4 linked regions of the Struthio camelus genome follow. The protein of the gene in region 1 purifies or fractionates together with the protein of each later gene. This does not show direct contact. Links are inferred from orthologs where the notes say so. Each region holds a gene or a part of one and is shown in the gene's direction. Other genes may lie near its edges. The genes, in order: PTEN, USP10, CENPC and OTUD3.

Region 1 (7,980 bases):
ATTACAAGCATGTAATGGTTTTTCCCCCAAAAACTCTTCCAGGCTTCATGAACTCGCAGATCAAAGACTCTGAGCCAGAGGTTGTACTGTATTTTATAGCCAATTCTTCCATGACCCTGTCTAGTCTCCCCTTGAACCCATGTAAACTTTTAGCATCCATGACATTTTGTAGCAGAGTCCCACAGTTTAACTTCAGGTCACGTCACTAACTACTACCTCTCTTGGCTGTTTTGAAACTGTTGCCAGCGAATTTCATCTGGTGTCCCTACATTTTATATGTATGGAAGAAACGTCAAAGAAATCAGTCTTTGTCCAACCTCTTCAGTAACTTGGGATTTTCTAGATCTCTAGCTAACTCTGCCAGGATGAAAAGTTCCAAACTTCACGGTTCCTCACCGAACAGCCGTTCTGTAGCTTTGGTCATCCATGCTTCCCTTCATCGAATCTTCTTCAGATCTGTTCTATACTTTTTAAAACGGAACCTGACCAAGAGAGCGAGAGAGAGTTTAGGATGGACGCATAGCATGAATTTAAACACTGACATAATTATTTTCTCTCCCCTTCCTACTAATTCCTGGCATAGTCATGCAGCTTGGATAATGGGATTTCAGCAGCGGTTGTCATGATAAAGATGGTTACCACATAGCTTGATGAAGACCTATCTCACGACTTGCTGACACAATGGCCATTGATAGGCTATTTTCTGCTCAGATTGCTTTTTGGTCTTGTTCTGACTTGGACTCAGGAAGCTAGCCAAAAGAGTTTCAGCTAAGCCATATCAACTTCCTAGAGACAAGGAAGCGTGGCTGGATGTTAGAGGGACACACTTTACACTTGCAGGACCTTTGGAAATGTTTTAAAAGATGGTCTTCATTTGCTAAGCACAAGTATATTTGCCTATGGGTAACCTCTGAGTCCGGGGTCTAAAAGTAGGCGCTGCCGTGAAATCTTTTCATGGGTTCCCTTCATACGTTTGTAGGTTGCAAAAGAACAGTATGATCTGACCGTACACACTAGTTGATCCCAAAATAAATATGAGCTGCCAGTGTGAATAGGAAAATAGGGCCCTAAGATGTCTTAGGAGCAATGTTTCTAGCAGAGTTTGGAAGGGATTAATACCATTGTCCTTGGATCTGGCAAGATACCATCTAGAACACTGCATGCCATTCTGGTCATGTATATTGAAGAGAAATGAGTAAAACTGAAACTGGAGCAGAAAGCCACTACTGAGATGAGGGAGAACGGACAGTTAGGAGAGCTGAGCTAGCTGAGCCTAGTCAGACGAAGGCTAAGAGGGACAACATTTCTATCTGTAAACGCACAAAGGGTAAATATGATGGAGTAAGAGCTATTTAAGGCCAACGCTGGCACCGGAACAAATGGATATAAACCAGTCACAAATATATTTAGCATGAAAATCAGAAGAACATTCTGGGAACAGCTTCTCAGTGGGAATTATGGTAACAAAAGATCTTAAGAGGAAACTTGATACATTTGTGAAAGGAATTATATTATATAGCATTTGCAAAGGCTGGAGGCTGCAGCGACCCAGGAGATCCTTCCACCCTACATTCCAATTTATTTTGACTCTGTTAAAAGCACAACATAAAACTTCATGCTTCAATTCCTCTACCTGTTCCAACCATCTGCAGCTAGACTTCAGCACCTCTCTTAAAAGTCATTTAAAGACTGAACAAGACAACAGATTTATCATATCCTTTGGAGTATCTGAAACATGAATTCCTGTTTGCTGTTCCTCAGAACGGAAACAGTTTCAGAAAGTATTGTCTTACATATGTATAAAAATTTCTATTTATTATCTTTTTATACAGAGAGAGAGAATGTTTTATCCCATCTTTCCTAGTTGACTATGTTGCTTACCAATAAATTTTCCACAGTATCTAACCACTATGCAAGAGAGGCGTTATGATTTTACTCGTAAGTTTCCTGCTCAAATGTATTTGATAACCCTTCGTTAGGTAATGCAATTACTAAGTGAACCATGTAAAAGTTTCCTGCTGGTGTTCCTGGGAGTGCTGTCTTCACTGTGATACCTTGCCTTTCTCAGGCAAGGTATCTTTTGCGGCCAGCCTCAGAAACATTTAACTGATGTCTATGAACTAAGAACCAGGATCTGTTCTTTAGGGAGATTTCTGTCTGGTTTATATCATCCGTTTTTCAAAGAGAGAAGAGGAAGGAATGCACAGGTTCTCTTCTTCCCATGAGGCCAGTTCTTTCCAAAATGTCTCTTTTCTAGTTACAGCGGAAGCGTTTTCTCTTCCCTTTTCTTTTTATTCCTTGTGGATTTCTGGAGATGTCCATCACTCCTTTATAAAGCTAACAGCTGTTTTCTCCTTCCTTTTAAACAGGCTTTCTTCAAAGGTATATTGTCTTTGATGTGCATGGAATATCCCTCAAGTTACCTACCGTTCACCAAAAGAACGTTGTGAAGACAATGTTTTTGAGAGAAGCAAATTTACTTCTACCAAGTAACCCTGTTTCTTCTAAGGTATTATCTGTCAGGGTCTCCTCTGTTCCCTCAATATTTGTGGCAAATGCCCATCTCCAGCAGTTTCCGTTCCTGACGCTTCATGTAAAGTCATGCATTCTAAGTTGCCTTAAAGTATGTTGTTTTGTATTACCCCAACAGGCTAACATTTCACTTGTCTGCACAAAAGAAAAAGCCATAGTCATATCAACTCCGATGGAAAAACTGATAGTTAACTGAGACTCCAGCCAGCTTTCATACTCAGAAGTCCAGCTTGGGATGGGCAGCTTGATAGTCACTGTTCTGCAAATCATTAACATGAGCAATGCTCGCTACCTTAATAAAGCAGTTTTCAGACCGGAGCGTGAAGACACTTATGATGTGATGGTGTTTATCTGTAAAAGTTGCTGTAAAAGGAATGGTCCCATTCCAGTGAAGGCTGGTTTGGAGATTTAGAGACAGCACTTGTCACCTGTCAGGATAATCAATTTTGATCAGCCAGGGCGTGGGGCTGGGGGGCCTTTACAAGTGAGGTTTACCTGATCATCAAGGTGGTGGATAAGCTGCACGTATTACTCGGCTCACTCACCATATTCTGCAGTACTAGAACAAAAGGCCTTGCAATGAAACTAATAGGAGATCAGTTTAAAACGGATAAAAAAGTACTTCTTTATGCAGCAGGGAGCGAGCTTCTGGACCTTGCTGCCACTGGAGCTGGGGGAGGCAGACAGGATCAACAGCATCAAAAAGGGATAAGACAAACTCGCACAGAACACGGCCACCAACGGATGCTAAGGGAAATAAGCAGAGACGTCCCCTCTGGCAGACCGAATTCAACAACCGCACACGCAGAGCACAGAAAGCACCCCAGCTTGCACCCTCTTCCAAAAGGGCGTTCCCGCTATTGGAGAAGTAACACTGCTGTGGCCCAGAAGGGCACTTTCTGTTCCCACCTGCTCGCTCAGATGCCAGAGCCCTGCGTGAAGTACCTACCCCAGGTGGCCAAGACCGCTCGGCCAAAAACCTCTCCCCTGGGACCTCGGTGGCTGCAGGGGGCAGCAGGTGCCCACACACTACTGCCGCGGGTGGAGGACGGCAGCTCCCGAGCAAGCTCCCAGCGTCTTTAACGTGGCAATAAATTACACGAGCACCGGCCACAGCCAGAGGAGAAAACGAGTCTTTTCGGCTGTCCGCGTACCCCCCCCACCCCACGGCGGCCCCCCCCACCCCACGGCGGCCGCCCCCGCGCGCCCCAGTCACCCGCGGCCGCCGTCTCCCACCTCCTTTCCCCGCCGGCGGTCACGCCCCCCCCCTCCCCGCACCGCCGCCCCCGCTCCTCGAGGGGCAGCGGGGCCTCGAGGCTCGTCCCCGCCGCCACGGCAGCGGCCCAAAGCCCGTTTGTCCCGGCTAGGGGAGCCAGGCCGCGGCGCTGCCCCCCCCGCCCCCCGCCCGGGCCGGAGGCGGCGCCGCGCCGCTCGCTCACCTCCGCGGCCCGGCCACTTCCGCCCGCGGAGCGGGGGGGGGGGGGGCCGCCGCGAGCGCGGCGCCGCGCCCACGTGACCTCCCGCAGCCCCGCCGCTCGGCGCCCACGTGACCTCCCCCCCTTCCCAGCGCGCCCCCCCTCCCCCGCCGCTCGGCGATGTGAGCCGCCCGTATCCCTCCGCCGGGCCGCGGCCTCGCCCCCGCAGGGCTGCGGTGGTGGTGGTGGGGTGGGGGGGCGGGGAGCGGGCGGGCGGGCGGCGGCGGCGGCGGGGCGCGGCGGCGGAGCGGGGAGGGGGGGGGCGGGGCGGGCGGCGGCGGTGATGTGGCGGGACTACTTTCTCGCGCCGGCGGAGGCGGCGGCGGAGGGGGCGGGGCCAGCGCTTTCTCCCCTCTCGGAAGTTGCAGCCATGATGGGAGTCTAGCGCTGGCGCGGCGCTGCTGGGCGCGGACGAGGCCGGGGGAGATGAGCCAGGCCGGGCCGGAGCCCCGCACGCCCTGAGTCGCGCCGCCCGCCGCCACCGCCGCCCGCCCGCCCCGCCGCCGCCTGCCGGGGAGCGCTCGCCCGCCCTCCCGCCCGGCTGCGCGGCCCCACCGCGCGGCCCCGGGTCCGCCGCCGCCGCCCCGGGCGGGGAGCGGGGCGGAGCGGGGCCGGGCCGGGGGGGCGCCCCGCGCCGCTGTCACCATTGCTGGGGCCCGGAGCGCCGGAGAGCTGCTCTCTCCGCCTCCGCCGCGCTCGCCTCAAAGACGGCGGCGGCGGCGGCGGCAGCACCCTCAGGGACTCGGCCCGGCTCTCAGCCCTCCCTGCTCGGCCGCCGCCGCCGCTCTCGCCCCGCTCGGCGCAGCGGCGGCAGGACGAGGAGGAGGAGGAGGGGGCAGCCGCCGCCGCCGGGAGCCGCCGCCGCCGCGGGGGGAGGCGGGCCCGCCTGCGCCCCCGCCGCCCGCCGCGGGGCCTCGGGCTGAGCCGCCGGAGCAGCAGGCCCCGCGCCCGGGGCCGCCCGGCAGCCGCCGGCCCCGCGCCCCGCCGCCGCCGCCGCCTCCTGCCGGCCTCTGCGCGCTGTCCCGGAGCGGCCCCCGGCTCCTAGACATGACCGCCATCATCAAAGAGATCGTCAGCAGGAACAAAAGGCGCTACCAGGAGGATGGCTTCGACTTGGACCTGACCTGTATCCCTGCTCGGCCTCCCCGGGCCGCGGCCCCGCGCCCGGCGGGAGATGAAACCCGAAAACCGGTGGTGCACGTACAGCTATTGCATCAGACCCTGCGCGGCGGTTACCTAATGCGCTTCCCGGTGCCGCTCCGCCGGGAGGGAGAGAGAGCGGAGCAGAGCCGGGGGGGCCCCCCGCCCCGCCGCCCTCCGGCCTCCTTTTGTCGGGGAGGCGAGGGGCCGTGCGGATCAACGGGAGCTGCCCGTGGCTAATGGTGATGGCGAAGATTACCGGGAGGGCTCGCTCGCAGTTGCGGCGCGCTTGCGTGCCCGGTGCTGGCACCGCTCCTGATTTGGGTGGTTTGTGCCTCCCCCGGGCCCAGCGGGTCCCCGGCCGTGTCCGAAGTAACGCGGGGCTGCCGCCTCTTATCTCTGGCTGCGCTGGTTTTCAGCTCGGCAAATGACGCCTGTCCTGCCGTGACTCGCGTGCAGAGCGCTTTTCGATTTAGGAACTCGCCTTGAATCGCAAACACGATTGCGGCGTGGCCTGCCGCTTTCCTGGGGCTGCTTAGGTTCGCGTGGCCTGTGTCCTCTGCGCTGATTTTCTTGCGTTAAGCGGGGAGGTATAGCTAGTGCTCTGCTGCAGTCAGGTATGGCCAGCTGCTCAGTTACGGGCAGCAGCGCTCCTCGGTGTTCTTCTAAATGAAAAAAATGCTTCTCTAGATAGCTAAAGTGCTCTGTAAGCCCTACTTTGGCCTAATCTGAGATACTGCATGTATTACCAATGAGAATACATCAGGGCTTGTTGAAGAGGGTAGCGAGGAGCAGTTCTGGAGTATGTAATTAGTATGCAATTAGAACTAATGAGTCAAACCGTAAAGAACTGAGCAGTTTTGGTGGCCTCCTGAACAGATGTGCTCTAGCTACCGCAGACAGATGTTTAGCTTTGAATGCCTTGCAGAGGTAATAGTATGTAGGGCTAGTACTGTGGGTGTACCTTTTCTTCGTGGAGAAGTTCATCGTTATTGTGTTTGAAAGGTTATTAAGTGAGAGAAGAGCCTGATACCGTCTCGCATAAAAGCTAAAACTGTGTTAGGAAAGATGAAAAATGACAGTAGTATTCAGATCTGGACTTAGGATCTTCTACGGACTGAGACTGCTTTCTGCTCTGCAACAGGGTCAGAGTAGGCTTTGCTGTTTTTCAGGGCAAATATATTTATGTCACAGCAAATGCTACATATACAGCCAAATTCTTGGGCAGGATGGAAGCAAACTGCTGTAACTGGTGTAGAGCTCCTGCTGTTACTCTGAGATTTGGCCTAAAATTTTGGTGGCTTTAAAGCAGCTTGAAAGCTTTTGACGTTAGCAGGTGACTGCTGAGCTTAACTAAAAGTAGGAGCTCTGTGTAGTTCTTGTGCTCTGGTTGTGGTATTGATAAAATAGAATTTTAGGCCTGCATTTCATATGTTCTCAGTCGGTCACTTCTTTGGCCTACAATTTGGACAGTTGTAACAGTGACATAGGCCAGCGCAGCGCTTAGCTTATTATTGACTTAAAGACAGAAGTCTGAGTTAGACTTTTTGATTTTTCCGAGTAATGTGCTTGCTGGGAACTTCTGGCTTAAGAGAAGTGTTAAATGGTGACAAAATGATGGGTTTTTGGCTTTTCAGTTGTAGAACTGTTTCAGATGTCTTTGCCCAAATATGCAGTTGGTCAGGAGGGATTTTTGACACAGACAGATCTTCACATCTTTTTAACTACTTATCTGCTTGTATTTATTATGTGCTTCTTGGCAAAAAAACTGCTGAATTTTAGTTGATCCTGGATTTTCTTATTCAAGGCTTTTAATGATATGCCAAATGGAGTTTATTGGGTTTTTTTAGACAACTTTTGTCTCATTAATTTTATTCTTAAAATATTGCCTTAGAAGTAGGTCACTGAAAACTGGACTTAGGCTGATTTTCCTAAAAGCAGTAGCTGACTGCAATTCTGTAATGAAATTTATGGGGAAAAAATGTATTTTAATGATTGTGGAAACACCTCTGGAAGAAGCTTATGCTCACATTAGGTGCTGTTTTAATTCATAGTTGCACATTTTGAACAGATAATTAGTGAATGAAGACACTGCATGCCTGATATAATGGCTATACTGGAAGGCCAACCTTGCTGCAAGAGTGAGATTTTAATATTCTATCATTTTGTGCAGGCTTCATGGAGCTGTTCTCTTCACGAGGTTTTGAGGGAATCGTTGCTACCTCATTCTTGGAAAATAGCCTTCTTACTTGAGTAGACAGAGGACTGAGCTTGGAGCTGAGCTTTCCAACCATGCAATGTTAGATGAAGAAAGAGGAAAAAATTGTAACCCAAATGAAAAAAAATTGAAACCTAAATGAGCTCTTTGGGAAGGTATGTGGTGTATGATAGCAGAATTGGGATTTAAATTCTCCAATCAGTTTCTCGCTGTGTGCTGGAGAGCGAGTCAAGCTTGCATCTAGGTTTCTGCTGTTGGTTAGCTGGCCTTCCCTGGCTTTCCAAGCTAAAGGAGAAAGTCTTACAGGACTATATAGCCCAGTGATTTGGCCTTTTAGCTGGGATGTGGGAAACTGAAGTATGAATTTCTTCTTCCAGTAAATATTTTTATACAGAGTAGATCAGTGTTAGTGGAGGTTCCAAAATACTTAGTAACTGACGGTTTCCTAGACTGTGGGAGATGGAGAGTCAAATCTTACTGTGAATCTGCTAGAGTAAGGACGGGAATCCAGGTGAGGTATCTGATCACCAAACTTTGAATTGGGCTGTGCGGTCCGTCTTTTCCTGCACCTATCCTTGAGGGCCGGTTCATGTCTTGGAATCGCAGGGGGACAAA
Region 2 (7,494 bases), on another chromosome or scaffold:
TTTTAACTTTTAGTACCTTTTCTGAGAAGCAGTTTAACTTGCAGAAAAAAGTCGAGATTCTAGTTGTGATTCTTAGGTTGCTGATATGTCTTAAGGAACCTCTGACCAGTCAGAAGTTTCTATCGAAAAAAGGGAAGCGTAACAAATGGAAAGCTTTGCTTTTTTTTTTTTTTTTATCATTTTATTTCAGTTTCTTGTAATAGTTCAGCTCTCTTCATCCAGCAGAATTTATAGACTTAGAACACTTCAGCAAGTAGATAGTGTCATCCTTACATCAGACGACAAGTGGAAAACGGGACGTAGTTTTTACACGGCTGATAGTCACAAAGATAGAAACGGACCTCAGGATTGCTGACTTCTTTTTCTTTTAACCTGTTAAACGTGGCTGCACTTAGTCCTTTTGATAAAAACCCTTTATGTGAGCAGTTTTAGCAGGAAAGAAGATGGAGTGGAAACTGAAATTAAGAATGACCTTCTGACCATTCCAAATTATTCTGTTCCTATGGTTTTAATGAGTGAAAAGCTAATTAAACCTTTACAAGCTCTGTTTTTGAGCTGTCTTTCAGACCACATAAGGCAGGTGCATCCCCCGTCCAGTTGGAGATGCACTGTTGCCATCCTGTGCAAGGTAGAGCATGCACAAGGCAAAGTCCCAGCTACGCAGGTTCCTTCTCCCTGCTGATGCACTATCAGATGGATGACAGACACACAGCCCAGGCGTGGGTTTGTTGATACCAAATCCATGTTACAGCATTGCATGGGCTCTTGCTGGGACTCACTACAGCTTTGGGAACAAAAATGTAGTTGTGTTTTTATCATGACGGTTTCAGCGATGAGTAACAAAATGGTGAATGGAAAGAATTTAGAGGTGAGATAAAGGTTCTTTTGAAACTGCAGCTCTAAAATAGACTGCATTGCATGAGAAGAGAGAAGGCTCATACTTAAGACAGGGAAGGATGAGATACAAATAATTCAGCCAAAAGGTCTGCATAGATAACTGAAACAGAATATATTGAGTCAAGCAGCCACACGATCTACTAAGGGCTTGTCTAGACTTGAAATTTCTTTCAGGCTCACTTGAACTATTTCACGTTTAAGTTCCTTGCATCAACAGATTAAGTATATTTGTTACAAATTATCAGAAAGTTTAAGAAGGAGGAGTTTGGAGCCCAGTTTGCTCGAGTGCTTTCCAGAATAAAACACCTCCTATTGGTGTCCTGTACTACTTTGCTGATTGCTTCTCCTTGTATAGCTTTTCTTGCCCTGGTGCTATCTCGGCTTCTCTTTCTAAACACAGGGATGCCTGTTGCTAACCTGTGCAATTTCAGGTCACAGAAAGTTCACAAATTTATGACTACTCAGCAAGCATGTTTCAGTAATCAGGTAAACCTCTGAAGTACGAGGTTTTGGATTAAGATTTATTGGGAAAGCCTCAGGACTGAATATCCAGCAGAATGCTATTCAGAACATCTAAGCACAGACATCTATCTGAAAAAGAGGTTTGACAACAAAGACCTACGCAAGCTCTACAAAGAAAGGAAAAGAGCTTCATCTGGGTTGTCCAAATTTTTTATTATAGCCATTAGCAGTAGGAAGGACCTCCATCAGCAGCAAGTTCTGTCCTTTCTGTCCCAGGTACTTCATATAATTCCTTTTGTATGCCTGTGGCCACTGTAAGGTAGCTAGATTTACCTCTGGCAAAGTTCATAGGGTCTCTGTGGACACGTTGGAGAGGGACTGTCACGGCTGTGTTTTACAGATTCTGCCAATGACATCTCTGTTGATATCGACTTAAGAGTAGGCTGGTTAAGAACTTGAAATACAAGAAGCCAACTGAACCGCCATCAGAAGCTCCTGTCTGAGGTCCAAGCAGGGGAGATGACTGCTTCTGATAAGTATTTTATGAGGGAAATGAAAAGAGCTTCCTTCCTAACACTATTTTGGTGCTACTGTGGGCATAGAGTATCACTATGCTCCCTTAGTCTCCTGCTGCTTTAAATAAATAATCTCTTTCTGAATGTTCTCTAAACGCGCAGCAGCCACCTTAGCTTTTTGTGTCTGGGTGCCCCCAACGCACAGTATAGCGTTGACTGGGCTTTTTCCTCCCAGTTGAATTCCATTACCAAAATGACTGGAGAAACAGCAAAGCCCTTATTGTACGTAGAAACTACCAGAATAAAAGTCTTCTAAAGCTCCTAGCACTGTGAAGAAGCTCTGCATAGACATTGATAAACCTTCCACAGTGATCAACCAGGTCTTGCAGCACTACAGGAAAATACTCGTTTCTGTCCCTGAAAGAGCAGATCAAAGCGGCCCATCAGTTGCTTCAGTTCAGGAACCTCAAATGTACAAACCCTTAACCCCTGGGTCAGTTTTATGCTGTAGCAAGGTCATGAGGAGTATGATATTGTAGGATAAGCTATTCCCAAGCTTTTTGCATTTATAGCAGAGTAAGAACAATTACCGTAGTTGTTATTGGGCGGCAACTGATTTGGAGTATTTTATTCAGCTCGCTGGCTAATGTAAAACAAGTCTTTCTGATTCCCAAAGATGTGACCCTCCACTGCTGTTAATCAAAATACAAAGTATTTAAGTGGTCACATGTTGTGAGTTAACATTATTTTACTCTCCCTTTACTCTCCCTTAAGAACGTGGATACACAGAAAGCAAAATAGACAACCACTATTTTTTAAAGTCTGAAAGGCAACATATTGTTTGTGAGTACCTGGCCACTGACATAAAGGATAGAAAAAAAGTAAAGCTGATTTGAGCAATGCAGTGACGAGTAATACAATGACACACCACCAGAAATGGCAAAAATGAATGGTAAGATAGAACTGAGGAGGAAACTTTCCGGCAGGTAAAAGTTCCTTCAAAGGATTCTATTATGATCAAACTTACATAACTTACAGTATTACAAGATATTGTGGTAAAAATTTAACAGACATTACAATGAAACTGTATTAAGGCAGGATAAAATTGAAGGTGTTATTAATTTTGCTCAACAGTTGCATCCTCTCTGCCCACACCCTAATTCTGGCCAGTCTGCTCCAGCTTTGAACAATATTGGTCCTTGAATTAACCTGTTTTCAGGTGGAAAGCACTCTGCTCATTTGTATTTTCAGCCATTTGCAGGGGCAACCTTTCCAGCAAACACAGTCAGTTTACTTAAGCAGGATTGTGGGCAGAAGGGAATTTTGCCTTCAGCCAGACGAGCTCTGTAAGGGTTTTTACTCCATTATTTACCTTGTAAATTAGACTCCTGTGGGCAGAGGGGGTTTCAGATGTAGGAAGTGCTTCACGTAAAATCCCCATGCATGTCTCCCTCTTTCTTTCCCCCCACCCCCTTTAAATACTAAACAGCTATTTTCACTGCTGGTTCTCTGCCTTAGGACAGAAGAGCAACAACGCTTGCTAGAACAAAAAGAAAGGGAGCGGAGCAGGGTGTGTCAACTGAAATGACAGAAACAGATACAGAAAATCATCTACTGTAGTTTCTTCCCATTACTGTCATGAGCACACATTAAGCGTTGCACTTATAAGAGGGAAATGTCTTTATCAAAAAATAAGGCAGGTGAAGTCTGCTTTCCATCTTCAGTGAACCTTCTCTCTCAGAAGCCACAATCACAGAGTTCCTGGGGAGCACGTTATTTCTTCTCTTCAACTTTCATAGTAAAGTTAAGCTTTTTATACCACTTGCTCCGCAGCTGAAGCGGTCTTTTGTGGGATCTAGTAGTTTTTTAAGAGGGGGAAAAAAAGGCGGAGTAAATTAGCGATTAGTTTAATGGCTTCTTGCCCGGGGATGGGAGCTTACAAGCAGGCAGTTGTGACTCAGTCCTCTCAAAAGCATAATATTGGCTTAGTCACTTTTTTCTTTGTTGTTTGCTTGTTTGTTTTCCAAATACAAATGCCTAATCCCTTATCGCTCTCGTTACTCGGGGCCAAGGCCTGCTGGCGTCTGAGGCTTTCCAACTCCGCAACGCGCGGCCCGCCGCCTCGAGGAAGCACGAGCTGAAACCCAGCCGAAGCCTGCGTGTCCCTAAAAACCCGAAAAGCCCTGTGCCCCTCCGCACAGGGCCCACCCGGAGGGCCGGCCGCATCCCCCCTCCCTTCCCCGGGCGAAGCCGCCCCGCTGCGCTCGGCGGGGGCGGCGCCGCCTCACGGCGCCCGGGCCCGCACCGCTCTGAGGCAGCCCCGCGCGCCGCTGGCGGGCGATGGCCGCTCGCCTCGTGGCCGACCCCGAGGGATGCCTGGGGCCGGAGGTGAAGTTTTTTTGGCTGCCTCGCCCTCCTTCGCGCCGCCGGGACCCCCCGAGCTGCCTGGTTTCTCCCCCCCCCCCCCCAACCCCCTTTTCCCGCCCCCGGCGGAGAGCGGCCCCACCCGCAGCTCCCGCCACCCCCCGCCGCCGGGCCCCTTCCTCGGGCCGCCCCGCCCCCGGCTCGGCCGCTACTGCGCCTGCGCGCCGCTGGCACCGCCGCCTCCCGCCCCTACCGCCCGGCCGACGCGCAGGCGCAAAGGCGCGCCGCCCCTCCCCTCCCCTCCCCGGCGGCGCTGTGCGCAGGCGCAGTGCTTGCCGCCTGCCCGCCCGGCTGGTGCGTGCGAGAGAGAAGATGGCGGCGGCGGGGGCAGCAGCGTGAGGCGCCTGGGAGACGCCGAGCTCCCCACTGAGGCGGGGCGCCATGGCTGTAAATAGCGCCCAGGTAGGCGCCGTCGCCGCGCTGCCGGGCCGGGGAGCCGCGGGGGGTCCTATCCGGCTCGGAGGGGCGGCCGGGCTCCGCGGCGCGGCTCGTCGGAGGAGGGGAGCGTGGTGGCCGGGACTAGGCCCCGGGTGATTCTGCAGCCTCATTGAATCCCGCCGGGGTGGGGGGCGCGGCGGCCGCGGGGCCCGGCCGGGGGGGCCTGGCCTGGGCGCTCCGCTGAGCCGCCGCGGGGCGGCGAAGGCGCGGAGGAGGCGCTGGTGCCCTGTGCGGGATGCAGGCGGTGCTGTTCCCCCATCCGCGCCGTTGCAAGGGGGGGGGGGGTTGGGAGCTACTCAGTAGGTCGGGCTTTTGGGGGGTAGGGGAGAGGGAGCGATGGGGGAGAGTCTACAACGGGAAAGAAATAAGGGGATTAGTAAGTTAATCCTCCCCCTCACCACTTCTCCCTCCCGCCCCCTGAACCTCGATGCATTGGGGTGCAAAGGACTGAGCGCTGCGAGGTCGTTATGCGTGGGGATGGGCGTGCAATTCCCCCCTCTCCCACTGACCAAACCGACCAGAAGGATTATGCATGGAATAACAAAATCTGCAGCCCAGGTAGCTTTTTACTGGAAGCTGAAAGCTCGAGTCTTGGGTCTAATCTAGTTTATGCATAAAGCAAATGGTTGAATGGATCAAGTTTGCTGTTTTCTTTTTGTAAGGGTGTTCCCCCTCCTCCCCCCAAGAAAGACTTTAAAGCAAAAATTTCTGGCAATTATAAGTGCTGTACTGGGGTGTGCATTTGCAAAACTTTGTAAAACTTTCCTTTCTGCGAGTAAGGGAGTTCAGAAAACTTAAAGCATGTTAAGTATAATTTTACTAAAGAACAGTATACTACTTTTTTGGAAAAAGTCTTTCATAAATTTTTTAAGTTTTTCTAACATTATGCTATATTATCCTCTGTTTTTTTTTTTTTTTCCTGAAGGCTGACTAAGGTACCCATCTGTGTTAAAACTGTACACTAGTGGTACTGACTGTGTTTTTTCTTTACAGCAAAGTTTAAAGTTGGTAAAAACTATCATGGTATTTATTATCAAGGATTTTTTTTAAGAGCTCTTGTATTTTGATATATGTGTCTTGAGGACAGTTACAGTTTTTGGAGTTTTTTAAACTTTAGTGTGCACGGCTGTGATGATAAAACTTTGTGTTCTTAAACTTTTCTTTCAAAGTGGAGGAATCTCACTCTGGTTCTAGTACATTGATTGACTTACCTAATGAATGGTAATTAGAATGCAGCGTATATCAAAAGGAGTGTGGAGGAGATTCAGTGTCCAACTTAGAAGCTGTTTCACTCTGCGTTATCCTCCTCTTGAATACTAGACAGCAAAATACTAGACAGCAGTGCACGTAGTCAGTTTGATAAGACTGTAGGTTTTTCATTACAACTTTTTTTATTGATTTAGAACAATAAAGGGCATTTTTGTGTCTGAACTTAATAAAAAGTACAGCAACTTAATGTTGAAACACTGCAGTCATAATTAAAAATAGACTATAGATTCATCTTTTTTCTTCCTCTAGTTCTGATTTTTTGTCAAGTGAAAATCTTTGGGTCTGGTCCTTTGTAGTTACTTGCTGTCAGTACTGTAGTGTAGATCAAACTACTCTGTAAGTAAAGCAGATATTTAAGTCTGGAGGGTTGCTGCTTAAATTTATGTATAATTGAGGAAACGAATCTGTATGGTATTTTTCAGCTAATGCAGTCTTCATGTCATTAAACACAACCCCTTGTGCTTTTTTTTTCTAATGTATTATAAACAGTTGATGTAAATGCTGCTTCATATTTATGTGAGCACATATTCTAGAGCAACACGGTGCAGTAATGCTGGAGTAAGGTAACAGTATTGTGTACTTTTTTGGATGGAGGACATGAAGATGAGTTTAGGGAGGTAGTTTTGCATGTAGGTGTTTCCTTTTAATTTTAAGATGACAGTATTGAAGATTGGTAGAAAAGTTTGAGAGAGAATTTTGATAAAAGTCATACATTCTAAGCACAAAGCTAAATAACATTACTTAGTCATTGTGTTCATGTCATAATGTGGAGTCCTAGGCAAAAGTATTTAAAATGTCTCAGTTATGGCAAACTTTGTCACATGGGGGAGAAATGTCTTCTAGAACATCCTGCTCTTCTAAATATTATAAAATGTGCCATCAGGCTTCTGCCAATTAACGGATTCATGTAGTGGTATGCAGAAGTATTCTATAAATCAGCCTGCGTACTCTTCACAAGTGAATCGTGAAACATGACCATATTGGATATTTTGAAAGGAGGATTCATTTTAGATGGCAGCTATTCAGAAGGCACACCAGCATATTTTAATACAGTTTAGATATGCTGGTCATTTGTACCTCTGTATTCCATGCAGGTATTTCATAATCATTTAATCAGATTCTTAAGTGTTGCTCTCAGTCTTCTGGGTGTGTTCTGAGGATATTTAAAATCTGTAAGATCATTTTTATTAAGACAAGCTGAAAGTAAACCTGTTGTATCACTGCTGGTTCTGTATGACAATACAGATATTGAGCTGATTTGACACTGAATATAATTAAAACCATTTTTCGAAGAGGACATTTAAAAATCCTTCTTTAAAAAAAAAGGAAGATTTAACGAATATTTCCCTGTTTGGAAATAGTAGTGCTCTGTAGGAACCTTATGAACAGTTGTTTCAGTCACTTTCTTATCCTTTTTAATGGAATGAATTACTGCAAACACTTCATTTGTAAATCTTCTGAAAACAAGTTAAACAGAAGAAAGGATACC
Region 3 (7,904 bases), on another chromosome or scaffold:
GTAAAGGGACCGATAAAAACTCTTACCATCATTTGCTTTTATATCAGTGCTTTAAAGAGCATTAAAGAGTGAAGATGTATTTGTTTTGCAAGCAATGTAAGAAAAAAAAGCTCATTAAATAATTTGTTGATGGCTACAAAGATATACAGGCTCAAGGCTTTGCTTTCTAATGTCCTAATCTGGCCTGGAATGGGAAAACTTTTCTGTCGTTTGTTGATCTAGATCACTATAACGTTGATCTAGACGGCAGGTAAACTATGCCCCTTTACTTGGCTTTAGTGCCTGCTAATAAAAATTCTTTTTGAGTAGCACTTAAAAACACATTCTCCTCTGGTTACCAGTTAACCAACAGTGAAGATTTTTAACATTTGTCAATTTAAAATTAATAAGTAATGAAAGAAAAATATATTTTAAGTACCATTTAAAACTCTCACTGTCCCTAAAAGGCATAAAAATGACACTCCATACTTTGGACAAATACAAAAGTGAGCTGGACATTCGCTTAATTTTTAAGTTGAAAAGCAGAAAAAGCAAGATCCCGATCCTGCTTAAGATAGCTAGTAAACAAAAAGCAAACTCTTTCCTCGTTGTTCTCAGCACATCATTCTCTAGAAAGTGGAAAATCGTGCAACAGGAACATGTTTAAAGATGCCAGTCTTCTGAACACTGTTCCCTTGAACTGCTTACTTGTATTTAATTTTGATCATGCTAGTTTATGTGCTTTAGGGATAAGACCACGTTAATGCCTTTCTCACGGAACTTGACAGTAGTCTAACCTATTGTTTGGACTTCTTGTACTTGAAGTGATATATTTCATGTACTTTGTCTGTAAATTACATGTGATAGTGTTTGTAAATCAACCGCACGTAATCAACCAAATGTCATGGTAAATACGACTGTCTGACTGTTACAAATGTTCCTTAATACTATCTTGCCCTGAATGACGGGAAAGGTTTTTCTGTTGTTCTTGTGCCCCTGAGAAGTGTATTTGTTACAGGACTGTGAATCGGGAATGCAAACCTGTAAAATACATGTTCTGTTTTAGTCTTCGTTTTACTTACCTATTTTGTTTTGGGGTTTGTTTGGGTTTTTTTTTTTTTTTTGACACGAAGTTGGAGGTTTTCACAGAAATGGAGAAAAGAAATAAGTCTTCAAGTCTCCAAGGTTATATGAATTAGACTGAACAAAATATTTTTCCTAAAGTATCTTGCAGGTGGTCCTTGCTCCCTGCACTGCTAACTCCTAACTAGTTTTTCTGGTGGCTTCTGTGAAATCACTTGTGTAATGTCCTCTATAGCATTCAGCCCCTGGACCCCAAGCTCTGAGCGCTGCAGTGTGCTATGAACATAAATGTCCTCCTTAAAACATCTGTCCCTAGCAAGTTAATGAAGCCTGTGAAGGCTTGCTGTGGCGTAGTGCTTGGCTGAGAGAGGCAGGGTGCTGGATGTCGTGGGAAATTTTTGAATCACACCTTATAAATTGGGCATTGTGCTCTATGGAAATGCAGTAGTATTAGCCCAGGAATATTTGTTGGTGTTTCACAGCCATAAGTGTTCCTTAGGCCCTGTATGCAGTCTACCTGCGTCACGAGGAGGAGGTGGCAGAACTATTAGCACAGGAGGAAGTAGTACTTGTAACGCAGCACTACGTGAAACTGAAGCTGGCCACTGCTTAAAGACATCTTTAGATACTTAAAATAGAGTAGTATTTGTAAAAGTAATGCACACAGAGAGTCCTTTCTTTTTTCAGAAAGGTGCCATATGATTTGAAGTGGCTCATAGTAACATGGTACTTTTTAGGAGTCAGATCCAGTTAAGAAATATGTATTAATGAGTTCTTTTTTCCTGGTGTCTGGTCTGTAGTTCAGGTGGTTAGTATACCTCTTCAGCATCACATAAGCCTTTTTAGACTGGCTGTGTGTTATTGCTCTGGCCTGCTATTGTTTATTATTGTATTATGGTGATGATTACATTTCCGAAGGAGGATTCTTCAGGAAAAAAGTTTTAATGTAGAAGTATATAAATAAAGGAATGTGTGAGAGAGCTTTATTAAACATACAGGTATTCTCATGCTAGACACAGCAAAGCAATGCTTAGAAGAATTTTGAGAGCTGCAAACAATTTAACAGCAAGGCTAATAGTCTGCTTTTTGCTTCTTGGAGTTCCTGTTTTCTGTGGTACCTGTTTGTTCTTGTGAACCACTGTGCTATTTTCGTCTTTTGACTATATCCATCTTTAGCCTCTGTAACTCATATTTTCTCTACTCTGTCTGTGCTTCTGTATCTACAGAGATGAGAGTGTAGGTAGGGTTAAGGCAAAGACTATTTTGTAACCCTAAGTACAAAGGATCACCGTTGTCAAGTGCTAATAAAGGCAATCAGCTTGATTAAGGACATGCTCTGAAAATATATGCTACGATAGCACACAGAACAGTATGAAGGCACTTACAAACTTGGGTCTTAAATGGTTATTGTGTGTCAAAAAAATCAAGGTACTATTTTTCTCAGTTAGTCCACACATATTGAATGATCAGCCTTTAACAACAACAACAAAAATAGGTATAGAATGCCTCATGTACGCTTCAAGTGGTGTGTCGCTGGAGATCTCAGGATGGATACTATTGTCCAGTAAATATGGGATGCATCAGAACAACGTTACAATGTCAAACTTTGCTCTTGTTATTAAAAATATTGCATTGACTTTCACCATGGTGTTAACTATGAAACCAGTCACTTTTAGTCTGCTTTTCAGTAGGTAACAGTAAACTATAATGGAACCCTGGAGATATTGACGGTTACATTACATACTTTGGTTTACTTCTTTTTCAAGAGGCATGAGCAGAAATAATGGAAAGTGCAAATTAAGCAAAATAGCTTTATTTCGGTGCAACTACATGCATTGGGCAGCACTGAGAAGTGTTTCTCCCCCCAAGTCTGCAGCTCACACTGGCAGATTTTTGCAAAAGTGTTTAAACATATCTACTTACTGGGACTGGGCACCTTACCTGGCATCTTGAATGCCGGATTGACAGATAACTTTCAAAGTACAAAGGCAGACCGGTGACCCTCTGTCTCTCGTGGAAGATTCTCCGGGGAGCCGGTTTAGGAATTTTCTCAGGCTCTTCCATAATGCTTCCCAGGGACCTCTGGATATCAGATGTTTTTTTCCCTCTTTCCTGCTCTTGCCTGCCTTGCATCAGCCTCAGCTGGAGAAGAAACTCACCTCGGTGAGAGGGGAAAAAACCCAACAGTTTAAAGAGGAAGTCTCTGTACTTACTTTTAGGTCAGTACATGCCACAGACTCTTTACTCAACATATAATCACAGGAGGAACCAGGCTGAATGGATTCAAAGGATCTTTTCTAGCAAAACATCTATGAGCTCGTTCCTTGGTTTGCTCAAAGAGGAAGAGCCAAATGATGAACCTTCTGGTACAAAACTGCATCACTACTACAGCTGGTTTCACTCAGAGATAATGGCAGAAAAGCCTCCTTACTATAACTTAAAAGTATTGGACTTGGGTCCAACAAGGGTTACATGGGCTATCTACCAGCTAGGGAGACTGTTTGTACTCTTAGCTGCTTCCACAGTACTATTGAAAGTTTTCTGTGTGAATATGTGTTTTAACATTACGACTACCAGATTATGACTGTTTTAATTGAAATTTCTTTAGGAAATGGGACATCTAGTAGGATTACAGAACCCCAACAGTAATATCAGAAATAAGCCTACCTACCACTGTTTATTACTGACAGCCAAATTTCTAGTGTGCATGCAGGATAGAAAGAGCTAATATACCAAAGCCAAATAAAAAATTGTGAAGGGAAATTGTAGTTCAAGAGTGAAATGTTGGTCCTTCTGAAATGAGGGGTGAAATTTCCATTGACTTCACAGAACCGTTATGTTTTGCTTCATTTCTGGCGTTTCCTAAAGCGTTCAGAAAGAATAGCAATGACAGGACTTGGTATTTTGGTGCTTTTTGGTGTGAGAGATAAAGTGAATGTGAAAAATTTCTGTGGATCATTTGTTGTTGAACATCTTCCTGCTCTTTTTTTTGTTTTTCAGCAGCATGCACCTGTAAGATGAGTACATAATTGACCTGTAAGGCGATCTGTGATGGATCATATAGCTGCTAGCCAGCCCTAGCAGAAAAGAGAGGTACAATTGTATAGGCGAAAGTGAATTCTCCATGTCATCTCCATGTCATCTCTAAATACTGCTGTGGACAGATCCATAGTCTCAGCTTTTGTTTACATTTCAGATTGCAGAAGTTGATGTGCGTTCTTTTTTAATTTAATTTAAATGGCAGACTCTGACTTCACCATTGAATGTTGCAGAAGAGCTTATGAAGACAGGTACCTGCACTGTTGCATGGCAAGACAGAAAATGACTATGCAGGCTGGAGCTGATGAACTCGGTCCTGTGCGGTGCGCTCTAAAAATGTGTCTTTTTAAGATATGTTTTGGGCTGGCTTTTGTAGCAGCGTATCTCCTCAAACGGTTCTTTCAGCAGTAGCTCCCGGCTGAGTTCAATAACGCTTAAAAAAAAGTCAAAATCTCGTGGTGATTGTAGGTGTTTTGCAGCGTTTATTAGAAACCTGAGTATTTGAACTTTGCTGAAATTTATACAGGAAGGAAAAAAATAATGCAGTGACCCGCCAGGAGACCTTGCCTAGGGAGGGATGGGGATGAATATTCGAGAATGAGTATCATGACAGATTGAGCAGATCCTCCGAGTAACCTTGCTACATTCTGCGCTTTAAAGACAGCGCAATTAGTAATGGCTCAAGGGGGAAAGAGGGGAATAAAGGCAACGGCCGCGCGAGAGAAAGACCCCATTACCCCTGAGGCGGGGGGAAGCCTGCGGCGCAACCTTCTGCGCACGCGCGGCAACGGCTGGAGGAGGCGGGTATGGCGCGCGCGCAAAGATACCGCCCTCTCCGGCGCGCGGCCCCCCGCTGACCAATGGGGCGGGGGGAAGGGGGCGCTGCCGCTGCTCTGCGCGCGCGCGCGCGGGCGCGCAGTGGGAAAGCCCCCGAGGTTTGAAAGTCGTGAGGGGCGAACGGGTCGTGAGGCGAAAGTCGTGAGGCGAGCGGGTGGGCGAACGGCCGGAGGGGAGGGAGGGGGAGAGAGAGGCGGGCGCGGGGTGACGGCTTGGCCGACCCCCGCGCCGTAGGGCCGGGAGTCCTCGTCTTTGTCGTGGCAGCGGCGGCCCGGGATGGCGGAGGCCTTGGTGAGAGAGCGCGAGCCCGGGGGCGCGGGAAGGGGCGGTTGTGCGGCGCGAGCCCCGCGAGCGGCTGTTACCCTCCCCTTCCCCTGCCCCTCTCTCCTCACTGCACTCCTGACAGCCGGGCGGCTCCCGGCGCGGGCTTCCTGGGCCGGCCCGAGGCCTGCCCGAGCCCTCTGCGGTGCTTTCCGGCCGTGCAGTCTCGGCTCAACCCTTGGGTCCCTGGGGCTGCTTTGGGCCTCGCTCCTGGGGAGACCGCGGCCGGTGTTAGTGCTCTGCCCTCCCTGACGGGCACCGCACCAACTGGCTCGGCCCCAGGTGCTGGCACAAGCAGTTCTGTGCTGAGAGCTTGTCTTCTGAGAGCCCTGTTTTCTTTAGGCTGCCTGTAACTGCTCCTACTGCTTGTTTCTGAAAACCTTCCTTTTAGGGGGTAGCATGCAAAGAATCAATAATTCTTGCCTAGCTATATTAGAGAGGTACCCATCTTCCTCCTGCAGACCACCATCAGATATATATATGCGGTGGGTAAAATTTTAAAGGCTCTTTATGTGCAGTGGAGTATTAACATAATCACCAATAAACTTAAAAGCCCTTTTAGCTCCGACACAGGAATGTTTCATTTTTTACGTGAAAGGTTGCTTGCTTGAAGAGCTTCAAGCCTAAGCGACTGGCTCACTGTAGAGTACAGTTTCCGTACTTGTTGTGAAGTGATGACATTTTGTGTTATAAGCCATTCAATTCACTGAGTGATATGGGATTTAATCCTACCGTTTTAAGGTTGAAAATCTGCAGTGGAATGAAATTCTTTTTTTGGAATAAAATGAGATTTTTGGTCATTTTTATTAGCAGAGGTAGTATCTGCAGAAATATGTGAAAGAAATCCTAGGTGAAGCCATCACTTTCTATTCGGAAAAGTATGAAATGGTTTCAGTATGGCAAAATTATTAGGAAGAGCATGCTGAATTCTATTGCATTAGGACTGAATGATCTTCATACTGCACATGCACTTATTCCAGCAGCAGATTGGAAGAAGTCATAACTGTCAATTAAAGTTGAGTTCAGCAAGGTGGTAATTTTATCATGGAATGGCTATTATGCTGTAACTGCCTGTCGTGGTCTTGCCTGTGAAAAATACAGGGTAAGAATCTCTATGTGAGCAGTTTCCACAGATCAGTTAGATGGGCTGTAAGGTTACGACCTAGCGTGCTTTGTGGTCGTTGATTCCTTTTTGTTGTTAAGATGAGTATTTCTATAATGGCAATAGAAAATTTAACTAATCCCTTAGATTCTGTAATATTTTTGTCATGTAAGTCTTGCAATTAATTTCAATGCAACACATGCTTGATGCTTCTTAAGGAAAGTTGAATCCCTGGCAGTTGTTAAAGGGGTGCTGAGCACATCTGTCAGAACTGCAGGGTTCTCAGAATAATAGGGCTGCAGTAACTGCTACTAGTTTATGATGAATCAAGAATCATCAAGATTTGTTGGCAACGTGCTTGTTAAAAACTGATTCTTCTTTCTTAACAGAACCTTTTCAAAAAAGACTACAGAACAAGATTCTGCCATGGAGGAGGGTAATTTACATTTATACTTAAAATTCCAGTTTTAGACAGTATAGTTTGGAAAAGTTACCCTGATTTATTTCTGTGAACTTAATGTCAAAATTACAGGAGCGTATCTTTTAACATTGGTTATGTAGCGGTTCCCAACTTGTATTTCTTAGCAGTGCAAAGCAAATTGTGCTCAGGGAGAGAATACAGTGTCTTACTGAAGCTTGGAGTTTAGCACTTTGTATGTCCTTTTGATCAATGGTTGGAAAAATTAGTGTTTAATATGCTTCTGATGCTCTCTTACCTCAGTGCATGCATTCCTCCTAGACCTCGTGGGTGCAAAGGTGTTACTACTGTTTCATTTGCCGCAAAGAGCGGAGAACAGATGGCAGCAATTCTGCAACAGAGAATATTGTCCACCTCAATAGCCAGTATGACATCTAGTGATAGGTTGTCCACAGGATAGAGTCCTTTATTTACACAATTTAAGTAATTTACATTAAAAAAATACATAGATGTGTGTATGTGTATATATTTAATATAAATTCAATGTACTTATGTATGTGTGTGTATATATATATTTTTTACTTTCTATCCTTCCCAGGCTCTTTCCTTTTTCATTGACTGCTTTTCCTTTGCATTCCTCTATTAAAGTGGCAGACTATGGTGCAGAGATACTGAGGCTACCTCTAGCTAGGCTAGTTGAGTACTGAAACAGTAGTCCTTGCAAACGTTTTTCCTCTGAGGTTGTAGAGAAATGAAGCACCTGCAGAGTTCGAACTTGTGTTGTTTGGCCCTTTCTGGTAAATTAGCTTGAGTATTGTATGTTGAGTATGTTGAGTACTGAAGAGTAGCTTGAGTATTTGTTGTGCTGTAGTCTTTCCTAAAGGAATTTCAGAAGTTAGTGAGCTTTGTGTTACTGGCATCCGTTTCTAGACATGCGTTTCATGAGTTTGCTAAGAAAAAAATCTACAAAATTATCTGTTTTAGAAGACATATAATAATCACGTGGAAGAAGTGTTCTGTAGCTTTTTTGTTGTTATTTTCATCAAAGTGTTTTAGCTAGTGGATCTCTTCTGCCATTTTCAGTTCCCTTAGAGGAGATAAGAAATAGCAACCTAACCATTTGAG
Region 4 (7,464 bases), on another chromosome or scaffold:
AGAACTCTTCTACTTCTCTTGCACTGGCTTTCTGCATGACCTTGGCAAGTTGTCTTGTTCTCTGCTTCTCAGTTTTTGACATTAGAACCGTAACGACACACACTATGTATCACAAAAGCTGAATCCTGGTATGTTGGATTGACAGAAGGTTTCAACATATCTGTTTCCCAGATGCTGTCAAAGATCCTGAGAGGAAATTAAATTAGGAATACAATGATGTTTTTAGAATGCACGTAACCAAAGGCAGAGCATATTTTTCATGCCAGGTAGATTTGAAGAGCAGTGTGTATCGCTCCCTTTCCTTGCTTTCCTGCTTTTCCAGCATTGTGTGCCATGGAATTAGGTACCACACCAGTTGTGAGTGCTCTGGGTAGGAAGTCTGCTCTTCTTTGGCCCTGCTTACTACCTTAGAGCTGTTACCCTACAGCACAGTTTAAAGAATGAGGCATAGCTTTGAGTGTTCAATGTCTGATTACCTACATCCCTGTTGGTTTCAGTTATCAGAGGGCTTCATGTGGGGACTGAAGCATGGGCAAAGTAAGTGACTTAAGGTCACACAGAGTCCAGGGGAGGTCTGAGAAATAAAAACAAAGTTGGTGTCTTAGTAAGAGCATCTTCCCTTTTTTTTTTTTTTTTTTTTTTTTTGAGTTCACAGGAAGAGCTGCACTGACAAGAATGCCCTATGCCACCTATGCTTAGGTGGTATATTGTGAATATTCAGCTTTTCTTAGACTCCTGAACCAAATCCCTCACTCTCTATTTTTGGGTTTTTTTTTTTTTTGAGGGGTAGAATAAACAGTTTCTCGGTAGGAATCCCATGGAAGTAAGGAAGAAGGGCAGGGGCCACTAATCCCTTCAGGGATCATTTGTAGAAGACAGAGTACCGAGTCTAGCCTCAAGTGCACCTGAGTGCTCAAGCTGTCTGTGCTGCTGTGTCCCAGCCCCTCTCTCCCACAGCAGAGCAGAGGAAGGAACAGAAACAAACGCGGTTAGAAGGGCAAAGGAGTTCAGGACAACACTGAACTCATTAACTAACTGGTGGGTGAATGAGGTGAGAACTTGTTCTTCTTTGAGAAAGAGTAGAAGGTTTATGGTTAGCAGACTTCATGAGTGTCTGGGTGTTCCTGCTGTACTTCTGCTGACACAGGCTATAGCAGGGGTTCACGGACATTCGGGTGACGCAAACGTTAGGAGCCTTCCATGCTTCAGTTAAAAGCTAGGTTAGACAAATTGAGGCCTCCATGTCCATTTACCCTGTCTTTCAGCAGTGGGTGGGTGTGACTTCCCTGTTTTTCCAGCGCATCTACTGGAAATTCAGAGCTGGCTGAGCAACGTTGTTACTTTGCTACTGATGAAGGTCGACAGCTTGGACAACTCTAGAGGGAAGGGGAAACGGAGCGTGTTGTGGTTCAGAGGTCCTTGCAGAGCCATGCATCCCCCAGGGTACAATTTACTGCCACTTCCACGTGGACAGGGGACCCCGCAGGAGGAAGCCCGGTCCAGCGTATGGGCTCAGGAAGCGGCAGCTCTGCAACTCCTGAGCTGTGTTTTCAGCACTGCTGTTCAGGCATTGGGTGATCTCTCTGCCCAGTTTTGTTATTGATCTTACTGGATTTAAAAGTATCTATCGATGTCCTTCATTGATGAAAATTTCAGCTGAGTGTTCAGAGGACCTGTCTTGACCGAGTCTTGCCCTTGGCTGCATGGGTGCCTTTCAGTGGCTTGTATGCTTGTTCTAGTCACCTGAGTTGACTCTAGCCCTTTATTACTATTTAGTCCAATTACTGTTTCATTAATCATTTGCAAGCAGTTCAACCTCGTTTCCTGCTTTTGGTATATTTGCATAAGAAGTGTTTCTGCGGAATATTTCTTCCTATGGGATTTGTTTATGACAGGAAAGGGATGCAAAAGAGCAATCTTATCGTTTCAGGTTAATCTCAGAGTAAAATAACAACTTGTCATAGGCTTTTGAGTATAATAATATTCACAATCTAATACCAGAGAAGCTAATGTTTATAGTCCTTGAACTTCTTCCTCTGCTCAAGATCTGTATCAGAATGTTGTGACTCTGGACAAGAGGGACTTTCTAGACTTGTCCTCAACCTTCGACATTTCCCAAAACTTGAAAAAGTGACTTCAATTGTCCTGATGTGAAGCCTCTTACTATATCACCTGTCAGTCAGTGTAAGTATGAATGAAGCAGAGAGCTTCCGTGAATGGACAGTCACCTTTAGATCTTTAGATTTACAATCTCTCTGCTATTGTTGCAAGGAATTTTTTATATTGGGGTTGAAAGAGAGGTTGCTATTGGTGGTGATCAGCAGGGGAATTCAGCTACAGTGTATCAGGCTCAGGAGTGGCCTTATAATTGATATCAACAAATGTTAATTTGACCTGATAAATGGGACCTGAAACCTTCCACAGGGGAATCCCACATGGCAATCCTGTCTTGTCTTGATAGTCAGCCATGTGCTTTTGTGGCATATTTGTAATGTTCATGCCAAGGAAGTCGATTCACACTCTACCTGGGTGTGTTTTTTCAAATTGTGAATGTTCTTTTAGGGTCCGTCTCACAGAGCCGCTTGGATGCATCCTCTGAACAGAGCTAGGAACTAATTAGACACAAATTCAACTGAAATGCAGCAGTTCTGACAGTACCGGGCAAATCCTTTCACAATAGCTGCATAACAAAGTAGGGCAAGAAAAACAGAATAAAGGGGTAACTGATTTGTCTATAGTAGAATAGTTGCGTTGATTTGGGGCAGCCCAGGATTGTATTAATGGTAGATGACTTATTTGACTGGTTGCTTCTGAGAATGGGGAAGAAGAGTAGGGCACGAGGCCAACAGGAAAGCCAAACGCTCCCCAGTCATGCTGTGTTGGGTAACGCATGACAGACTGGAGCTTTTTGTTCTTTGTCATGCTTCTTACTGTTAAACTTCTATCCACTTCCATGTGGATATGCATACAGTCTCCCCCTCTTCCTTTGGGTCCAGCAGTACTGGAAGGGGTTGTTATGGCTCAAAGTTGCAACAAAATCAGTCTCCTTGTAGAGGAAAGTATGTTGCAGCTCAGTTTGTAAACTGGCAGTGCTAATTTTATCTTCCCAAAGCGCTGAATTCTAAATAAGTGGTTGCCTTTTTTAGGGCTGAGCTTTCTGCTACGGCAGTGGTCTCATTTTTTGGCAAATAACCCGGCTTTCCAATGCTGTGGCTTGTATCTTGCTATAGATGTTCTACAGTTGCAGCAGCAGATTCTGCAGTGTTGCTGATACAAGCTGTGTGGTTTGGCGGTGTTTCCACAAATGGCCATCGTACTTTGGCCCAGCTTTACTGGTGAAACAGGTGGAGGAAGCCCTGTATTAACACTGTGCTGTTCGGTGAGTGCTCCTAGTTGTGTACTGTGGGAGCAGGTCTCATTTGTGCCCCCCTTCTCCACCCCCACGCCCCCTGTTCAGATTAGTTTTCCATATTTCTTCTTGCCAGGGCTCAGGGAAATAGGAAATGCAGGTACAGTGTCATGTATCAAAACCTGACTTTTCCACCAGGAAAAAGGTAAGATGTTTATTTACAGGCTGAATTCACAGCCTGCTCGAGTCAGGCCCTTGCTGAGTGTGACCACTCTAAACACATTTTCCTAATAGAAATTAAATATTCTTCTGCTTTGGAACTTTGAATTTTCTTTTTCAAGCCTTCCGTTAACTGTTACTGCTTTGGCTGTCACCCTGACCCGTGTTCCTGTTGTCAGGCCTGGGGCATGGCAGTGTGAGCTGTGTTCTTGCAGTGCCACCTCGTGGGTAGTGAATGTTCTCACCTCTTTGTTCCTTTCCAGTTACTCTTGCATCACTGATTCGGTGCTGAAGTAGACACGGACCGGGCTAAGAGGTTTGTGCTAGTTTATAATTGCAGAAGTTAATGAAAGAAGGGCCACAGCCTCTGTCCAAGGGAAGTTTTTGGAGTAAGTGGGAACTAAGGGTGCTGGAGCAGCAGGGAGAGGTGCTGGGGCATGACCCCAAAGGCCCTTCTAGACTGACCAGGAGGAGCACCTGGGTAGAGAAGTGCAGTTAGCTGGAGAAACTAAGGATGAAAGCACATGGAGAATCTGGCTTTCACACAGACCAAGCATTGTGGTATGAAATTAGGAGCTTTGTCCTGCTGCCCTGTGCTTTCTCCTGGGCTCCGCTGTTGATCCCAAGGGCTGCCTGGTTTCACCTTCCTTCCCTTTGCACTCTGCATGGCTTGGATCGCTGACACCTCCTGCTTCCCCCAGCTCCCTCCCCTGCCTTCCCTCCTGCCCCGGCGCCCTCCTCCTCCTCTGGAGGACTGCTGGTGGGGGGGGGGGGGGGGAGGGCTAGAGTGGCGGCGCTCTGGCGTCTCTTGCGTCGCTCTCGGTGGCGGCGCCCGGTGGTCACGTGAGGGCCGCGGCGGCGCAGGCGCAGTGGGCGCCCGGCGGGCGTGGGGGCGATGTCCCGCAAGCAGGCGGCCAAAGCGCGGCCCGGCAGCGGTGGCAGGAAGGCGCGGCGGCCCCGGCCGCCCGCCGCCGCCCCGGCCCCGGCCCCGGCCCCGGGCGGCCTTGCCGGGCAGCTCCGGGCGCTCGGCCTCAAGCTGCGGGAGGTCCCAGGTGACGGGTGAGCGCGGGGCCGGCACCTCCGCCGAGCTCTCTGCCTTCTGAAGCCCCTCAGGCCTCTGCAGGCTCCCTCCACCCCCGGCAGTGCAGGGCCTTTGTCCCGGGGGGCTCCCTTGGCCTGTCACCAGCGGGGCCGAGGGCTCTTCTAGCCCCAGGCTTGTCTCCCACAGGCTTGAGGGCCACCCTGTCTGCCTGGGGCATAGGAAGCACCATAAACATTGGGAGAAAGGGGAGTTAGAAACCTGGTTGCTGAGGAATTGCTTGGTGAATCGTTGGGTTGTCCTCTGTGGCGTTGTCATTTGTCTTGGTTGCAGTTTAGGACAGTTTGGCATGGTGCTATTAGTCCTGTTGACTTGCTGTGTAGGATCTGATGCTGTTGTCACCCAAAACAATGCTGTTGTTGTATTACCAATTCTGACTTCAACAGCCATTCTAAGTCCTGGGAATAAGTGGTATTTCACTTCCATATCCTTGTTGAATTACTGGGCAGAAGGAGCGTAGCTCATTTCTCCTCCTGTTAACACTGGCCAGACACTGCTTCCAATCTGGACTCTTTAATGAGGAAGCAGCTGCATCCCTTTTCATTGGCAGTGTTTGGTGCTTGAGTCAATACATCAATGCAGGATTGTGCTGGGGGACGCTTCTGCTGCGCAGTCTGTGTTCTTTCTGCTCCTCCTTCGGGGTGGTTGGTTTGGGGTATCCTGTTAACCACCTTTCAAACATGCTAACTTGCAGTTTCTCTTTTGGTAGTAATTGTTTGTTTCGGGCCCTCGGTGATCAGCTTGAGGGGCATTCACGGAACCACCTTAAACATCGCCAGGAGACAGTGGATTACATGATAAAGCAGCGGGAGGATTTTGAGCCTTTTGTGGAGGATGATGTTCCCTTTGAGAAACATGGTATGGTCTCCGTAAGGCAATAACGGAAGGGGATATTCTGCATCATCTCATTTGGGTACCTTACTACACTGTTTCTCATCCCAGAAGTATTTTAGAGCAGCTCTCCAGTTTTTAGACACAGTAGTTTCTCTTTGTTTTCTTTCTTTAGAAAAATGAGCTGTTACATTTGCTTTGGATCTTTTTAAAATTTAGGAGAAACCTGGCATAGGAAAGAAAAAAGCAAGGAGTACAAATATGCTATTTTCAAAAGGAACTTAGAATCTAAGTGTCTAGCTCCCCTTGAATGCTGGTGGGTGTTGAGTGGCTGATTTCCATGGGTTTCTTTGTCTCCTTGACGATCCGTATTTTGTGCAGTGTTAACCTAGGGAAAGATCCAAAGCAGAGACTAATACAGCCTTCGTTCTAACAGCTTTGAGGATGTGCCAGGTAACGTGCAGGTGATGCATAAAAGCGTTTTGGTCACTTAATTCATGGCACTCTTTATTCAAAGCTAACACAGAGCTGATGACCTTGCATAATCTAAGGATGTACTAGGTTTTTTAGAGCTTTCTGTGGTCATTTAAGGCTCATTAACTGCAGTCACTGCCAAATTCTCGCTTCAAAAGTCACTCTTTTGCAGTTGGGGATTTCTTTCCAGAATTTCTTGGACTAGTGTTGAAATTGTTACTCAGTATCCCTCCAATGCTTTTGAAAGCGTCAAAAGCTTAAGTTTCCAGTTCTCACAGATTTTTTTTTTCTTTAGTTACCAATTTGGCAAAGCCTGGTACCTTTGCAGGCAATGATGCTATTGTGGCATTTGCAAGGAACAATCAAATGAACGTGGTTATTCATCAGCTTAATGCTCCACTGTGGCAGGTAAGAAGTAAGACTTTTATATTTTGGTCTGATTTTTAGCTGGAGGGTAGTTTTGAAACTTTGTGATCTATAAAAAGATGACAAAAACACTGATCGGTAGCCGTAGTTTGGCATGGTGTTGAGCTGTGCTTGCTTTTTCCAGCCTGGAAAGAAAGTCCTCAAGACTTCAGCTAGGAGGCGAGGAAACAAAACAAAATAAAACAATGAATCCATGAAGCATAAGTATATGGAGACAGAACTCTGGTGTTAAGCTCCTGGCTTCTGCAATGTTCCTCTCTCCTGAGGATCAGACTACATGCGAGTTCACAGAAATTTGAGCCAGGCTTAAGGAAACTTTGTTAACAAGTTTCAGGAATACGGAAGTGAAGGTATAGCAGGGCAGCCCCTGCAGTGTGTTGGAATGAAACGCCATCAGTTCTGCATCAGATTTGGAATGACAATGAAATGGTTTCTAACAGTCAGAGAAATGAGGTTCTAGAATGGGCAAAAAAGAAGGGAGAAGTTGTAAAGTCTTAAGGTGGTGTTTAATCAGTTTATGAAAGTAGACTGTGATACAGTTTCCTCTTACAGTAGGGGACTGGAACAAGTGATCCATCATGTCCTTCCTCTGTTGTTGTTGTTGTTTTCCTGTAGTGAACCCACCCTAGGATGGATCCACACTCAATCTGGCTATTTATTGAACAACTGAGACCCTACATTCAAGCCAAGATTATTTCTTGACATTTTTTAGTGATGGTAATAATGGATTTAAGGGCGGACCCCAGTTTAGAGATAATACCGGTGAGGTATATAGATTAAACAGCGAGATGAAGAAAAGAAAAGGTGAAAGCTGTCGATAACGTCTTAAATGCATTTGAAATAGTGTCAGATGGATTCCTGAACCAGAAGTTTAGACTTTATATATAGACAGTCATTGGAAGTAAGACAGCTAACCTGCATGTTTTAAAAAAAAGTTTACTTGGCAGTCACCATGCAAATGGGTAGGAGTAGTCAACTGCTTGACTTGTGAGAGTAAGTAGAGATGAAAAGACCCTGCCGGAGTTTACGGAGGTGCTGTTCATGTTTTGTTACTGTTTTGAACCAG

Evidence for each region.
Region 2: the proteins of PTEN (region 1) and USP10 purify together in Homo sapiens (affinity purification with western blotting; 4 studies listed by BioGRID, with this or other methods). This does not show direct contact. The link is inferred for Struthio camelus from reciprocal best matches to the Homo sapiens genes PTEN and USP10.
Region 3: the proteins of PTEN (region 1) and CENPC purify together in Homo sapiens (affinity purification with western blotting; 3 studies listed by BioGRID, with this or other methods). This does not show direct contact. The link is inferred for Struthio camelus from reciprocal best matches to the Homo sapiens genes PTEN and CENPC.
Region 4: the proteins of PTEN (region 1) and OTUD3 purify together in Homo sapiens (affinity purification with western blotting; 3 studies listed by BioGRID and IntAct, with this or other methods). This does not show direct contact. The link is inferred for Struthio camelus from reciprocal best matches to the Homo sapiens genes PTEN and OTUD3.

Annotation. Positions count from the first base shown.
Region 1 is NC_090948.1:43,320,922-43,328,901, forward strand, and holds the start of PTEN (phosphatidylinositol 3,4,5-trisphosphate 3-phosphatase and dual-specificity protein phosphatase PTEN), read left to right. Parts: upstream 1-4,974; 5' UTR 4,975-5,054; coding exon 5,055-5,133; intron 5,134-7,980. UniProt on the Homo sapiens protein: Dual-specificity protein phosphatase, dephosphorylating tyrosine-, serine- and threonine-phosphorylated proteins.
Region 2 is NC_090951.1:4,542,747-4,550,240, reverse strand, and holds the start of USP10 (ubiquitin carboxyl-terminal hydrolase 10), read left to right. Parts: upstream 1-4,486; 5' UTR 4,487-4,679; coding exon 4,680-4,700; intron 4,701-7,494. UniProt on the Homo sapiens protein: Hydrolase that can remove conjugated ubiquitin from target proteins such as p53/TP53, RPS2/us5, RPS3/us3, RPS10/eS10, BECN1, SNX3 and CFTR.
Region 3 is NC_090945.1:5,207,783-5,215,686, reverse strand, and holds the start of CENPC (centromere protein C), read left to right. Parts: upstream 1-4,903; 5' UTR 4,904-5,214; coding exon 5,215-5,229; intron 5,230-6,750; coding exon 6,751-6,797; intron 6,798-7,904. Other genes in the region: STAP1 (signal-transducing adaptor protein 1), read right to left, coding at 3,004-3,195. UniProt on the Homo sapiens protein: Component of the CENPA-NAC (nucleosome-associated) complex, a complex that plays a central role in assembly of kinetochore proteins, mitotic progression and chromosome segregation.
Region 4 is NC_090962.1:12,812,435-12,819,898, reverse strand, and holds the start of OTUD3 (OTU domain-containing protein 3), read left to right. Parts: upstream 1-4,463; coding exon 4,464-4,627; intron 4,628-5,376; coding exon 5,377-5,525; intron 5,526-6,267; coding exon 6,268-6,380; intron 6,381-7,464.